2 linked regions of the Anolis sagrei genome follow. The protein of the gene in region 1 interacts with the protein of each later gene in a biochemical or structural test. Links are inferred from orthologs where the notes say so. Each region holds a gene or a part of one and is shown on either strand. Other genes may lie near its edges.

Evidence for each region. The genes of interacting proteins can lie anywhere in the genome.
Region 2: the proteins of AP2B1 (region 1) and CLINT1 form a complex in vitro, tested with the Homo sapiens proteins (2 studies listed by BioGRID and IntAct, with this or other methods). The link is inferred for Anolis sagrei from reciprocal best matches to the Homo sapiens genes AP2B1 and CLINT1.

What each region holds. Positions count from the first base shown.
Region 1 is NC_090031.1:28,422,070-28,429,716, forward strand, and holds the start of AP2B1 (AP-2 complex subunit beta), read left to right. Parts: upstream 1-3,089; 5' UTR 3,090-3,205; intron 3,206-3,266; exon of another isoform or gene 3,267-3,317; intron 3,318-5,037; 5' UTR 5,038-5,055; coding exon 5,056-5,092; intron 5,093-5,279; coding exon 5,280-5,385; intron 5,386-6,119; coding exon 6,120-6,255; intron 6,256-7,318; coding exon 7,319-7,564; intron 7,565-7,647. UniProt on the Homo sapiens protein: Component of the adaptor protein complex 2 (AP-2). Adaptor protein complexes function in protein transport via transport vesicles in different membrane traffic pathways.
Region 2 is NC_090022.1:80,156,835-80,164,481, forward strand, and holds the start of CLINT1 (clathrin interactor 1), read left to right. Parts: upstream 1-2,731; 5' UTR 2,732-2,921; coding exon 2,922-2,962; intron 2,963-7,647. UniProt on the Homo sapiens protein: Binds to membranes enriched in phosphatidylinositol 4,5-bisphosphate (PtdIns(4,5)P2). May have a role in transport via clathrin-coated vesicles from the trans-Golgi network to endosomes. Stimulates clathrin assembly.

The DNA of each region.
Region 1 (7,647 bases):
TATGTATCTCTCTCTTAGGGGTTGGACTATGTATCTATCTATGTATCACTCTCTCTTGGAGAGAGTCCCTTCCAAGTCCAGCTACCTATCTATCTATGTATCTATCTATCTATCTCTTGGGTAGACTGGATGACCCTTGGAATCCCTTCCAAGTCTAGCATTCCATCTATATATCTATCCATGTATTTATTTATCTCTTAGGGGTTGGACTGGATGACCTTTGGAGTGCCTTCCAGGTCTAGGATTCTCCTCTCTCCCTCTCTCTCTTAGAGGTTGGACTGGATGACCCTTGGAGATATGTATGTATGTATGTATGTATGTATGTATGTATCCATCCATGTATCTCTCTCTCTTAGGGATGAGACTGGATGACCCTTGGAGTCCCTTCCAAGTCTAGCATTCCATCTATGCATCTATCCATGTATCTATTTATCTCTTAGGGGTTGGACTGGATGACCTTTGGAGTGCCTTTCAGGACTAGGATTCTCCTTCTCTCTCTCTCTCTCTCTTAGGTGTTGGACTGGATGACCCTTGGAGATATGTATGTATGTATCCATCCATGTATCTCTCTCTCTCTTAGGGATGAGACTGGATGACCCTTGGAGTCCCTTCCAAGTCTAGCATTCCATCCATCCATCCACAATTCTACCTAAGTACATACCATTCCCTCTCTCTGTCTTATGAGTCCAGCTGACTGTCCCTGTGGGTCCTCCTTTCCATCCCTGTGGCCCTCTGTTCCTTTTCTGTCCCTCCCTCCCTCGATGTGCTGAGATCCCTCACCCGCGATGTGTTGGTTGATCATCTCCTTCTCGGGCTCCTGCAGCTCCTCCCATCCCTCCAGGTCGGTGAGGTCCTCAATCCGCTTGGTGGTGGCTCGGGCGCGCTCCAGCTTCTCGAAGGCGCACTTGACGTGGTACCACTCCTTCATGTCCCCGCCGGACTCGGAGAAGGGGTTGGGCACCACCTTCCCGATGCGCACCGTGCCCTTCAGCAGCTTCTCCTTGCACTTCTTGCAGCCGGCCGTGCCCCGCTTGGCGTAGTCCACGCAGTAGCGCTGCTCCGCCATCTGGGAAGGAAGGAGAGCCAATCTCCGCAAAGGCTGTGTAAATAGCAATGGGGGGAAAGCGATCCCAGGTTGAGGCGGCCGCCTCGGGAGAAAGATCAGCCTCTGGCTCTGGTTGAAGGCCCTGGTTGTCCGTAGAAGGAGCGCCGAGAGGAGGAACGGCATGCAGCGCCCGGAGCAGAGTGACTAAAATACTCTGAAAAAGAGACACAACAACAACAATAGACCATAATACAATAATAATTCTATCCTTCCTTATGGTAGAAGGGGGTTGGTCCTTCTTCCTATCTATCTGTCCATCCTTTTCTTTCCCTCCCTCCTTTTCCTTCCTTCTTTTTCTCTTCTTTTGCTTTTCTATCTTTTTCTTTCCTTCCTTCCTTCCTTCCTTTTTTTCTTTGTGGCTCTTTCTTTCCTTCTTTCATTCCTTCTCTTTTTCTTTCATTCTTTCTTTCCTGCCTTCTTCTTTTTCTTTGTAGCTCTTTCTTTTCTTCTTTCATTTCCCTCATTTTCCCTCTCTTCTTTCTTTTCTCTTCCCTCCCTTCCCCTTTTTCTTCCCTTCTTTCCCTCATATCTTTTCCCCTTTCCTTCCTTCCCCCTCTCCTTTTTCTCTTCCTTCCTTCCTTTTCTTTTTTTCTTTGTGGCTCTTTCTTTCTTCCATTTTCCTCATAAGCCTTTCCCTCTCTTTTTTCTTTCTCTTCCTTCCTGCCTTCTCTCTTTTCCTTCTCTTTCTCTTTCTTTCCTTGATCGTTCATTCCTTCTCCATCTTTTTCTTTCTTTCCTTCCCTCCTTTCCCAGCTTTTTATTTCATTCCTTTATCCCTTCTTTCATTTCCTTTTTCTTTCATTCATTCACGCTTTCTTTCCTTTCTCCTTCTATTTCTTTGTGGCTCCTTCTTTCCTTTCTCTCTGTCCATTTCTTCCATAAACCTTTTCCCTCTCTTCTTTCTTTCTTTTCTTTTCTCTTCCCTTTCCCCTTTCCCCATCTTTTTCTTTCATTCTTTCTTTCCATCCCTATGTTTTCCTTCCTCCCTTTCTCTTCTTTATTCTTTGTGTCTTTTTCCTTTTCCCCTTTTATTCATAAACCTTTCCTTCTTTCTTTCCTTTCTCTTCCCCTCTCTTCCTTCGTTCCCTTCTTACATCTTCCTTTCTTCCCTTCTTTCATACCCCTTTCCCTTTCTTTAGCGTGTTCCCTCCTTTCCTGACCTCCTTTTCCATCTCTTTCTTTCCTGCCTTCTTCTTTTTCATTGTGGCTCTTTCTTTCCTTCTTTCATTTCCCTCCTAATCCTTTTCCTTCTCTTTTTTCCTTCTTTTCTTTCTCCTTCTTCTTTCTCTTCCTTTCCCCCTCTTCCTTCCTTCTCCCCTTCCTCCCCTTCACACTCCTTCCTCTTTCTTTCTTTCCTTCCTACTTCTTTTTCTTTGTGGCTCTTTCTTTCCTTCATAAACCTTTCTCCCTCTCTTATTTCTTTCCTTTCTCTTTCTTCCACTCTCTTCCTTCCCTCCTTTTTCCTTTCTTTCCTCCTTCCCTTTCCTTCATAGACCTTTCCCTTTTCCCCTTCCTTTTCCTTCCTTTTTTCCACATACCTTCCTTTCTTCCTCTCTCTTGCAATGGTCGCCTAGCAACAGCCAATCCCCTTCCTCCCTTCCGCAGCCATAGAGAAGAAGGAGGAAGAAGAAGAAGGGAGGGAGAAGAAGTTCCTTTTTGTTGCATGAGAGAAAAAAGTAACTTTCCCCTACTTGCATATTTCCATATCCACTTCCTCACCTTTGTTTTCCCTCTTGCAGGACCATTGCTAGGCCTCACCGGAAGTGGCTCCCGCCTCAAAGCCTCGGCTAGGCCTCACCGGAAGTGGCCGATCTAGGACTCCACACGCCTCATGTCCCACACCTAAGCCGCTCTAGGACTCCAAAGGAAAGGGAGGGATACAGAAGAAGAGTGGAAAGAAAGGGAAGTGAGTTTCCTTCCTCACTTCTGGTGGGTATGGCCTCCCCACCGGAAGTGGGCCTTCTTGGGCGCTTCTAGGCGGGGGCGGCTCTATGGGCCCGGCTTCCGGTCCTCCCAATCCTTGACCCCACCCTGGCTTCTTCTTCTCTTCATTAAAGAAGGCTTCTGCTGCTTCTCTTCCTTCTCCTTCTTCCTCTTTAGGTGAGATTAAAGGGGCGTGGCCTCTGGGCTTCCAGGCCACGCCCACTGTGGGAGGGAGGGAGGGGGAAGAGGGAAGGGAGCCATTGATCTTGCCTCCTTCCCTCCCTGCAAGGTAGGACTACTCTGATGACAAGGCCTCCCTTTCTACCCCTATTGATTAGTCCCCTAATTAGTGAGGTTAATGAGTTGGGGCCAATTGGGAAGGAAGGAAGACTGAGCCCCCCCCCTTCTCTCCCTTGCTTTCATTATTATTATAATTAATTATCATAAATTATAATAAAATTATATCATTGATAACATCCATTATAATATAATAGTAATAGGAAGTAAGAAAAGGAATGAAGAGAAAAAAGGAGAGGAGGGAAGGAAGGAAAGGGGAAAACTCCCCCCCCTTCTCTCCTTTGCTTTCATTATATTAATTATCATAAATTATTGTCATGGTTGGTCCTGAAACTCGCTGGAACACCTCAGCAAGCAAGAGTCCAAAAGTGGCAGGCTCAAATCCAGCACCTCAACCAATGGCTGATACCAAATGAGAGACTCCCTCCTGGGCACACAGAGGACTGGGCGACTTGGAAGGCGCTGAACAGACTGCGCTCTGGCACCACGAGATGCAGAGCCAACCTCAAGAAATGGGGCTACAAAGTGGAATCCTTGACATGCGAGTGTGGAGAGGAGCAAACCACAGACCACCTGCTGCAATGCAACCTGAGCCCTGCTACATGCACAATGGAGGACCTTCTTGCAGCAACACCAGAGGCACTCCAAGGGGCCAGATACTGGTCAAAGGACATTTAATCAACTACCAAACTCACAAGTTGTGCATTTTTCTGTTTGTTTGCTTTGTCCTGTTAGAAATGTAATATAATGGACTGGCTGCTCTGACACAACAAATAAATCATAAATTATAATAAAATTATATCATTGATAGCATCCATTATAATATAATAGTCATAGGAAGTAAGAAAAGGAAGGAAGAGAAAAAAGGAGAGGGTGGAAGGAAGGAAAGGGGAAAACTCCCCCCCTTCTCTCCCTTGCTTTCATTATTATTATAATAAATTATAATAAAATTATGTCATTGATAACATCCATTATAATAGTAATAGGAAGTAAGAAAAGAAGAGAAAAAAGAAGGAGAGGAGGGAAGGAAGGAAAGAGAAAAGGAATGAGGGGAAGAATAGGGCTTTTAATTAATAGGCAGGAAATGGAAGAAAAGAAAGAAAGAACGAGCCACAAAGAAAAAAAAAGAAGGGAAAGGAAGTATTAATATTTATTATTATATACTTTTTATTATTATAATTTAATAATATTTATGATTATATTTTTATTATTATTATTATTTATTAATACTGAGCTGCCGAACTTGCTGACTGAAAGTTTGGCAGTTCGAATACGGGGTGTGGGTGAAAATTTAATTATTATTATTAATCTTTATATTATTGTTGTTGTTATTATTATTACAATATTTGGAGAAGAGTGTCCTGTATTTCAGAGGAAGGAGCTGGCAAAAACATTCCTGGCCCAAGAAAACCCCATTATATTCCCTAAATCCCTAAGCAATTTGAAGCTCACAAGATGGGGAATGAATGAGATGAACTTAAACTCTTAACCCAGGAAAGCAAAAGCAGCTGTCACTTTGCTAAAGGCCTAAGTCTCCATCAGATCTTGGATGCTAACCCTTGAATTGGATTATATATTTGGAGTCTACACTGCTGTATTATCCAAAGTGGATCACTTGGATTATATGGCTGTGTCAATTAAGCCTAAGAAAAACCCAGGTGAATTGACAGGTGAATTGACCTGATATCATCTTTTCCTTTCCTTCATGATAGTCTTAGGAAGCCGAAGCCATGACGGATTCCAAGTACTTCACCACCAATAAAAAAGGTGAGATGGGTATAGAGGAATATAATATTATACCATTATTTAATGTAATTATATAATATATTATAATGTAATATAATATATTATAATGTAATATAATATTACTATAATATTATGATGCTATTATTTCATATAATAATAGTATAATGGCATTTCTGACTGGACTGTATTTCCTTTCCCTCCTTCCAAGGGGAGATCTTTGAGCTGAAAGCAGAACTCAACAATGAAAAGAAGGAGAAGCGGAAGGAAGCTGTCAAGAAGGTCATTGCGGCCATGACCGTGGGCAAGGACGTCAGGTACGGAATTATTGTAACATAATAATAATAATAATAATAATAATAATACCATCATCAAACCTTATCTGAATAAAAATTATTATTACATTACTAGCTTGGGTGCCTGGTGTTGCCCAGGTTATTTGAACAAGTCAATTTTTTTAATGGTACGAAATGCATGTGGTTGTGGGTGAACTACAACTCCCATCATGCCAATTTAAACCTGAGAAACTCCCATCAGTGCTTCAAGTTTGTTATGTTGGGCAAATTTGCTCTGGCTACATCATCACTGTGGTTCAGTGTGCTCTCTGACTCCTATAAATCATGTTGAATTCTCCCCAAACATCTCTTGTATGTTCATTATTATGATCAATTCCTGTGTTTGCTGTGTGCCATAGAAAAGAATAGGGAAGGGTTAAGGGAGAGGCAGTGGGCGGGGTCATGCAAATTCCACACCAACGGAGAGAGTAAGAAACACTGCGATGTCTGTGGTGGAGGAAATAAATCAAATCTAGGATGGAATTGTCCCCGAATGAAAACCTTCCCTTGGGTGGTGGGCAAGATGGTGTTGGTGGGAGACATTGGCAGGGCTCCTGGACATGTTTACAGCACTCACTATAACCTGCAATGTCATTGGAGGGAGGGAGGGCCTTTGGTGTCACCTGAGTGGTGGGAGATATAGCTGTTTGTGGAGGCAGGCGCTTTTCTTCCTTCCCTGCATCTCTCTATCTTTCATTCATTCTATCTTTCCCCAGCTCCCTCTTTCCAGATGTGGTCAACTGCATGCAGACAGACAACCTGGAGCTGAAGAAGCTGGTCTACCTGTACCTGATGAACTACGCCAAGAGCCAGCCAGACATGGCCATCATGGCTGTCAACAGCTTCGTCAAGGTCCGGCCCCTAAAACATCATCATGCCTGTATTATTAACCTATGAATTAGGAGGTGCATTGTTGCAACTCAGAGTAAGCTTCACCTTGCTTCCAAACACCACCACACAAGAGCTGTAGTTTTGTAGTTTATTGAGGAAAAAATCCAAGTCAAAATAAAGAACAAGCATTGCAAAGTTCCAAAGATTAAGGTTAAACGCAGAATATAGTTCCAAAAATCTTCAGGTAAAAGCAGGAGACACAATCCTATTGGCAAAGTTCAAACCAGAGTCCCAGGTACAAGCAATAAAACAATTGCCGCAAGAATCACAATGCAAGAAATCCCAAGCGTACTGCTTTCCAGGCTAAGGTTATTCCATGAAGCTTTCAGGCTAGTAGGCTACGTTGAACTGACGCTTTCTCAGGGTTTGCAAGAAGCCTAAATACCTTTCTAACATGAAAACATTAGGCTCTCATCATCATAAAAGCATTGCGATGACCTTTCACCGAGCTGGCTTCTCGTCTGCCGGCCAGACGAGAACTCTGCCTGACCCTCAGATCAAGACAAGCTTGCCGGGTCAAGTCACTATCTACACTTTCGGTATCAGTGTGGGAAGGCACCTGCTTGCTATCTCCTTCGTTAAAATTCCTTTCTGCTGGGAACGGCTGTGTTGACACTGCACTGTCGGTGGGAGCCTCAGAAGCAGGCCCAGAGATGTGAGGCACAGACACAGAGCCAGGAAGCTGAATCCCAGTAGGAATCTGAATCCCATCATCCTCATCATCAGAAAACAGCTCAGCCACAACATGCATGACATTTGCGTCATATGGTGAACCTCTTAGTAATTGTGAAATTATCATCTTTATTATCATCCTGCTTCTATCTCTTGGTTGAGACCTACAGCAACATCGTGAAATAATGTCATTTTATTTAATATAATATTTCATAATAATAATAATAATAATAATGATATCTGTATTATTAATCCACTTGGTTGAGACCTACAGTAATACTGTCAAACATATTATAAATATAATAAAGTATGGCATTGGCATTGACCTTGGCTTCTCCCCCTGCCCACCCAGGACTGTGAGGACCCCAACCCGCTGATCCGCGCACTGGCGGTGCGCACCATGGGCTGCATCCGGGTGGACAAGATCACGGAGTACCTGTGCGAGCCGCTGCGCAAGTGCCTGAAGGACGAGGACCCCTACGTGCGCAAGACGGCCGCCGTCTGCGTGGCCAAGCTGCACGACATCAACGCCCAGATGGTGGAGGACCAGGGCTTCCTCGACTCCCTGCGCGATCTCATTGCTGACTCCAACCCCATGGTGAGAAGGAAGGACGGCCCGCCTCACCTGTCTCCGGGGTTTGCTCTCGTGCTTCCTTTCCTGCCTCTCTTCTCTCTCCCTCT
Region 2 (7,647 bases), on another chromosome or scaffold:
CCATGATTGCATAGCATTGAGTCTTGGCAGTGAAAGTGGTGTCAAACTGCATTACTTCTACAGTGTAGATGCACCCTTAGTTTCCCAAATCTATACTGTGGAGTTTATCACATGACAGAGGCAAACCAAAGGTGATGGTTCCTATTGCACAATGCTGTAGAAATGCCATTGTGTCTTCTACCTTCCCATTGTTAGAAGTAGTCAATTAACCCACTATACTAATAATATAATATATTGTATAGACATATAATATTTATATTATAATGTAATACAGTATACGAGGGTTGGAACTTTAATAGTGGCAACTATTTGTTTACATTTAATACAAAGTGATACATGTCAACAAGCTTTACAGTCCTGCAGTACAGTTACCAGCATTGTGTACAATCCGTTTCCAACGATGTGGAAGTCGTAGGACACCTGTTGCAGCGCCTGTTCTGTTGATAGTTCGAATGGAGTGGTCTACTGCCACAAGAATTTCTGATCAGTTCTGAAGTGAATGCCATGAAATGGTTCCTTCATCTTAGGAATTAAGTCAAAGCCATAAGGGCTTAAGTCTGGGGAGTATGGTGGATGGTACAGAACTTCCCAGCCCCATTGATCAAGCAAATCAGCCACAGCTTGTGCTGCATGTGGCCAAGCACTGTCATGCAAAATGGTAGGGGCGTTCTGGAGAAAGTGTCACCCCTTTTTTTTCAAAGCTGGTCTGAGATGGTGTTCCAAAAATGAGCAGTAATTCTACGCATTGATGATCTGATGTGGGGGAATGGTATGTGTTGGGATGACACCATCACAGTGGTACATGAGAATCTCCATAACTTTCACATTGCTGGGGTTCTGACAAAATTTCAAACTTTGTGGTGACCCGTAATGACACCATTCGTTCGATTGGCGTTTCAGTTCTGGCTGGTACAATCTGGCCCAAGTCTTATCCAGCGTAATGATATGGCAAAAGAGCCTCTCCTTTGCACTCATAGTGCTTCAAGTGGGTATGAGAAGCATCGTATCGTAGCCATTTCTGCATTTCTATCAAATGATATGGAACCCATCGGGAAGCAATTTTCATGCCCAGACCTTCCTTCAAAAGTAAGTGACAACACTTACTTTAGACCACAAGCTAATACGAGGCTCAGTTCTTCGTGTCACTCTGCATGTGCGTGACATAGGAAGGGTGAGTCTTTTTGCTCAGAGGTAAGGTTGGTATGTAACTAACGTGTGGTATATGTGACATTCTTTGGTTTTGTTGCATGGCATCTTATTAAAGTTCCAACCCTCGTAATACTAATAATACAGTATTATAATTATATATTTTATATTACATGTAATATTACTAATAATATTACAATATAATTATATAGTACAATATAATAATATATCATACTGCTATTGCGCTATGCTAATAATATAATATATTGTATGTATATATACATCTTGTAAGCCGCTCTGAGTCCCCTTCGGGGTGAGAAAAGCAGCATATAAATGTCATAAATAAATATGTATTTGTGGCATTTATGTTCAAAAGGTATCAAGTACAATTTTGAAAATCCGAGTAATATGCGTCAGGACATTGTTGGCTAGGAGTAAAATATAATGTACAGATCAAAACTGCTGGAAATGTATAAAATTTGCCTTTTATAGCAAAAAAGAATATCTCCTCGGCATGTTTTTTTTTAAAAAAATTATTCCTTTGGGAAACAAGCTCCACATAGATGTGTTATTTTGTAAGCATATGTGTGTGTATTTATATGTGCACATGTATATACAGTAGAGTCCCATTTATCCAATGTAAACAGGCTGGCAGAACGTTGGATAAACAAAAATGTTGGATAATAAGGAAGGATTAAGGAAAAGCTTACAAAGGATTTTTGTCTGCTGGAGCTAGGTGTGAATGTTTCAACTGACCACCTTGATTAGCATTTAATGGCTTGGAAGTGCCTGGGGGGAATCTTTTGTTGAGAGGTGAGAGTCCTTTGTCCCACCCTGGTCATTCCACAGGTATATAAACCCATTTTCCTACGTCCAACAGACCTCACTACCTCTGAGGATGCTTGCCATAGATGCAGGCGAAATGTCAGGAGAGAATGCCTCTAGAACATGGCCATATAGCCCGAAAAAACCTACAACAACCCAAAATTGTTCTTCATTTTAATTATTGAATTGTTTTAAGGTGTTTTTTGGCACTACAAATAAGATATGTCCAGGGTGCATAGGGATTCATTCATTTTTTTCTCCAAATTATAATCCGGCCCTCCAACAGTTTGAGGAACTGTGACCTGGCCCTCTGTTTAAACAGTTTGAGGACCCCTGCTCTACTGTATATAAATACAGTAGTCTACTGTATGTTCCGTATCCACAAGTATTTAGGCCTGGTCGCAACGTATTCCAGCTCTCCTTGCGCCAAGGCTCCCCCCACAGCCAAGGCTCCCTTTCCTTTGCCTGCAGGCCAATGAGGCCAAACCACTTTCCAGAGAGAGGGGGGGGAGCGGCTTCCTGTCCTCAATCGGAGGCAAGCAGAGCTCCGAAGCCCTTCCGCCCTCACAGCCTCCCCGCCCAGTAAATGGAACTTCCAACAAGCGACGCTTATTTAAACATGAAACCCCCAGCATGCTTTGCGGGAAAGTTTCGGGGCGGGGCGGGCCTTTGCCACGGAGACAGAGCCCGGGCGGACTACGTTACCCGGCACGCCTTGCGCCGTGCAGCCCTTTCTCTACGGTGGAACACCGAGACAGGCGCCTTGATTGGACGCCCGACGGACTTCAAGCCCCAGCGGCCTTTGCGGCCACGAGCGGCCGGCTTCCGGAAGAAGAACGGTTCCCTCGCTCTCCGTCCACCGTTGGCGAAACTGAGGCGGCGGCGGCGGCCGGACGGGAGGCGCAGTGGGCCTAGGCGGAAGGGACGCTTTCGGCGCCGCCGTGGACACGATGCTCAACATGTGGAAGGTCCGGGAGCTGGTGGACAAGGCGTGAGTATTATGGGGTGCTCGTGGAGGGGGGGGAGGGGGGCAACTCTTCCCACAGCCTCCCCCGCAGCCCCTTTGCCGCCTCAGTCGCCCCTTTCTTCCCTTCTCCATCTTCACCCCAAGGCGGTGGGGTCGCCTTCCTCCTTTTTTCCTCCCTCTGGATGGAGGCAAGGGTGAGGGGTGAGGACTTGCAACCATGGCTCCCAAGCCAACCCTAGGGCTTAACTCCTTCCGCTGTTGGTAGACCTTGCTGAAACTTCCTACACTTCAACCTGCCTGCTGTAACGGATCGCTGTCTAGTTTTTGATCAAGGCCGGGTCTACGCTGTCAAATTGATGCAGTTTGACACCACTTCTGCTGCCTTGGCTCAGTGACATTGCATCCTGGGAGTTGTGGTCTTGTGAGGCACAAAAAGGCCAAAGGCCGTGTAAACGTCAACTCCCAGGATTCCATAGCATTGAGCTGTTAGTGGTGTCAAATTGCATTAATTCTTCAGTGTAGAGGCACCCATGATCATTCAAATATATCACACTATTTTGGTGTCCCTGAACTCCCCATGTTTCCTATGCTCTCTTGGGTCCCTTTCACACAACTAAATAAAATCCCACATTATCTGCTTTGAACTGGGATATAAGGCAGTGTGGACTCAGATAACCCAGCTCAAAGCAGGTATTGTGGGACTTCCTGCCTTGATATAGGGCTGTGTGGAAGGGCCCTTAGTCACTGCATCTGTTAGGGTTCTAGGCCCTTGGATTCTGATGCAGTTGAAGTTTATAAATTAGGGCCTCCGTTTTTTTCCTAAGGGCTTTCTAAGGCTGATCTTTGTATTTCCCCCTCAGTACCTCCCTCTTTTTTACACAACCAATAAAGATCTTAGGACTCTTCCAGACAGGCCCTATATCCCAGGATCTGATCCCAGGTTTTCTGTTTATCCCAGATTATATGGCAATGCAGATGCCAGTTTAATGCAAAACAAACAAACAAACAAAGCAATCAGATCCTGGGATATAGGGCCTGTCTGGAAGGGCCCTTTAGAGCCTGAAATGAGAGAACAAAGTTGGGATGTATCTATGCTGTACAATTAATGTAGTTTGACATCCCTTGAACTTACACAGCTCAATGCTGTGAAATTATCAGAGTTGTCATTTTACAAACTCTTTAGACTTCTTTGCTAAAGAGCAGTGGTGCCACAACCACAACTCCCAGGATTCCATAGCATTGAGTCGTGGCAGTTTAAAGTGGTGTCAAACTGCATTCATTCTACAGTGTAGGTGTGCCCATGGTAACAGAAGACAAGTCTACTTCTTCAGGCCAAACTAAGACAGCTTATGCTACCAACTTCTATATTTTGTCAGTCTGTAAGATGTCACAAGATCACTTTTCATACCAATATTCCAGACTGTCTTTGAATTCTATTGCAGATCTTGCTAGTCACTATTCTCATTTGAAAAAGCAATAGTAGATACTTCAAAAACCCTGGCTTTGAATGTGTGTAATTTTGTGGCTATACCTATACGCAATGCTTTTTGGAAGTGCACAACTTCCTGAATCTCTTGGTGGTGTTTTTTTGGTTTCAGACAATCTTTGGCTGTCTCTTGGCATGTTGGATGGTTTTCTTGTATATTATGGCTAGAAATCCTTGAGACACTGAGAAATTCAACCCTGGCCTTGTGCTTGTATATCCAACACTCCCTTTTCATTGCTGCTGTTCTGTTAAGCCTCTGGTTGAGGAAAGGTAACTTAATACAGGAAGTACAAAAACTTGATATCATCCAGTGGAGGAGGTGCAGTACCTGTCTGTAACAGATACACTTTGAGCGGATTTAATTCTTGTGGATTAACCTTTCTGTTTGTAGCACCGTCATTGTTGCTACCTTAATGGTAGGATTTTCCAGTCAGAAATGTGGGTTGGGCAAAAAGCACAGTCTTGTACCACCCTTGCTTGTGGGCAAGGAGTAGAAGGAAGTCTTTACGCATACACCCTTTACCTGAAACTAAAGATCTTGCATAACCCTGAACTGCTTCCCAGAACACTTTCATGGCAGTGTTTTTCTGGAAAACATTAACTGTGTTCTCAAAATTTCTTTTTAACTTTCATCACCTTCCGCTGTGTCTCATGGAATCCAGCTGAAGCTTCAATAGAATAAGCAAACTTGACATTTAAACCTCTGTGAATAAGTGTGCTGTTTTCCTCCTGAATAAACCTATTTATATTTTACTTTGAAAGCGGAACTCTTAAGTTTTAAAAAGACAAATGTTTGGAGAACAATTGTAAAGCATTTACTGTTGTATGTTGATGCCTTTAGTGGTTAAAGTATTCATTGTGAATATCAAAGTTTAAGAGGCAATATTGTGTTTTGATGTCTTGAAATACCTCTGTGATTGAGGGTTTTATGTACTCCACACTGAAAACAGTTCAAAACCATTGTTGTACTAGAACATGAAATATAGAAACCAAACATTTCTATTAGGTGCCCTTGAGAGGTGGAATGTGAGAAACAATAAACAAAGCATATATATAGGTTGCATTGAAAGTGGCATTATGGGAGTTCTCAGTGACTCTATGAAGTTGGGTCCATGAGGGTAGCAGAGGAGAGGGACAAATCTTTTATGCAAGTAGTGTCTATTATTCTGGTGGACAGGCATTGCAGAGTATAATCTTGTTTTCTAGTTACTTGTGGAAAAATATTATTGACAGAATTCTCAGTTTGGTTTAATACAAATGGTAATATGAGGTAAAGATGTGTAATCATAGACCCGTCGCAAACTAGCCTCCTGCGGGAGCAAACCTTGCCAGCACGTCCCTGACGTCATGAGACTCCGCCTATCGCCCCACCCCATTCTCAGCCTCTTTCTCCGTGCCAGAGTGGTTTTTCCTTTGCTAGGGCAGCATTGCCAGCATACTCTCGTTGTTGGCAGAATTCAACAACGAGAGTACGCTGGCAATGCTGCCCTAGCAAAGGAAAAACCACTCTGGCACGGAGAAAGGGGCAGGGAGAGAGGTGCAGTCTCATGACGTCAGGGACGTGCTGGCAAGGTTTGCTCCTGCAGGAGGCTAGTTTGCGGCGGCTCATAGGTTCATATATTTCGTAAATGAAGGTGCACTCAGAAAAATTAAATCACATTGAGAAAGCTTTCTTCAAAACACTAAAATCAAAATCAAAATTTGTGCCAGTGCTTCATAAGAAGGTTTGTAGAAGACATGTGACTGGATTTGTGGTTAGAAAGCAGAGTCCATGAGTTTCATATTAACACTTGGATTTTAGCTCCAAGGCATCTCATTCCTGCATGACAGAATGGGGTTGGACTGGATGTCTATTGTGGCCTCTTCTAACTGTATGATTCTGTGCATGCAAATTTAAATAAATATTCTAAAATAAAAAAGAAAAATTCAAAACATTTCAACCTGTAGAAATACTTTATGCAGTATTAATACTAGACAAATTTAGTGTTTATTTTAAAAGTGAATTGTGTTCTTAATGTATAAAACTACATACATCAGTCTTGGCTTTGAAGCCTGGCTTATTTTTAGATTGACTTTGACATTGAGACCACTAAGCATTTGGCATTGTACTTGATGTTGTACATTACTAGACTGATAACATAAATGTATCTGTCTACTGTGAGACTGGATAAATAAATAAAAGAAATAGCTTTATTTATATCCCACCCAATCTTCCTGAGGGGACTCGGGGCAGATTGCAGCAACAGAAGGCAAACATTCAATGCCTATACAATAAAAATTACAAATACAAATACATTGACAGACCCACCCAAACCCCCAAATAAACCAATTGATTACAAATTAATTGAGATATGCTGCATTTGTTCAGCTAATTCAACATTATTGGAAAATAGGTTTTTTAAGGTGTTTTGTGTGCAGAAAAAACATCACTAGGCTGGCAACTTGAGCTAAGCTAGTTCTACAAGTAATTAGATGTTCTATCTAGACAGTGTATTGTGAACCCAAAATTTGTTTTGGTTCTCCAAGATTATCAGTATTCTTTGTTTTCAAACCTGTTTAGTATCCACTTGTTCACATACATAACAAAACCTTCCTGGCTAATGAAACGGGGGGGGGGGGGGGGGGGGTTGTCATATCAGGAGCAACTTGAGAAACTGCAAGTTGCTTCTGGTGTCAGAGAATTGGCCGTCTGCGAGGACGTTGCCCAAGGGACACCCAGATGTTTTTGATGGTTTAACATCCTTGTGGGAGGCTTCTTTCATGTCCCCACATAGAGAGCCGGAGCTGACAGACGGATCTCATCTGCGCTCTCCCAGGATTCGAACCTGCGACCTGTCAGTCTTCAGCCCTGCCGGCACAGGGGTTGAACCCATTGCACCACCGGGGGCTCCCAATGAAACTGTTAACTTGGTAGGAGAAGACTGCTGAGTAGTAGTAGTAGTAGTAGTAGTAGTAGTAATAACAATAATAAGTTTTATTTTTTACCTTCTTCTCCTCAAGGCGGGGTACAACATATTTAAACTACATAGATAAAAACATAAGACGGTTAAAACACTTACAATAAGAGACAGAGACCTAAAATTAAAAAACATTAAAATTATTTATACCAATAAAATGTCAGTTTAAAATTCATAGTTCAAAATTGATTGTGTAGTCCTATAACAATATGTAACACATTTTGAAAAAAATTCTGTTCCTGGTTTCAAAGTGTTATTTCCTGTTT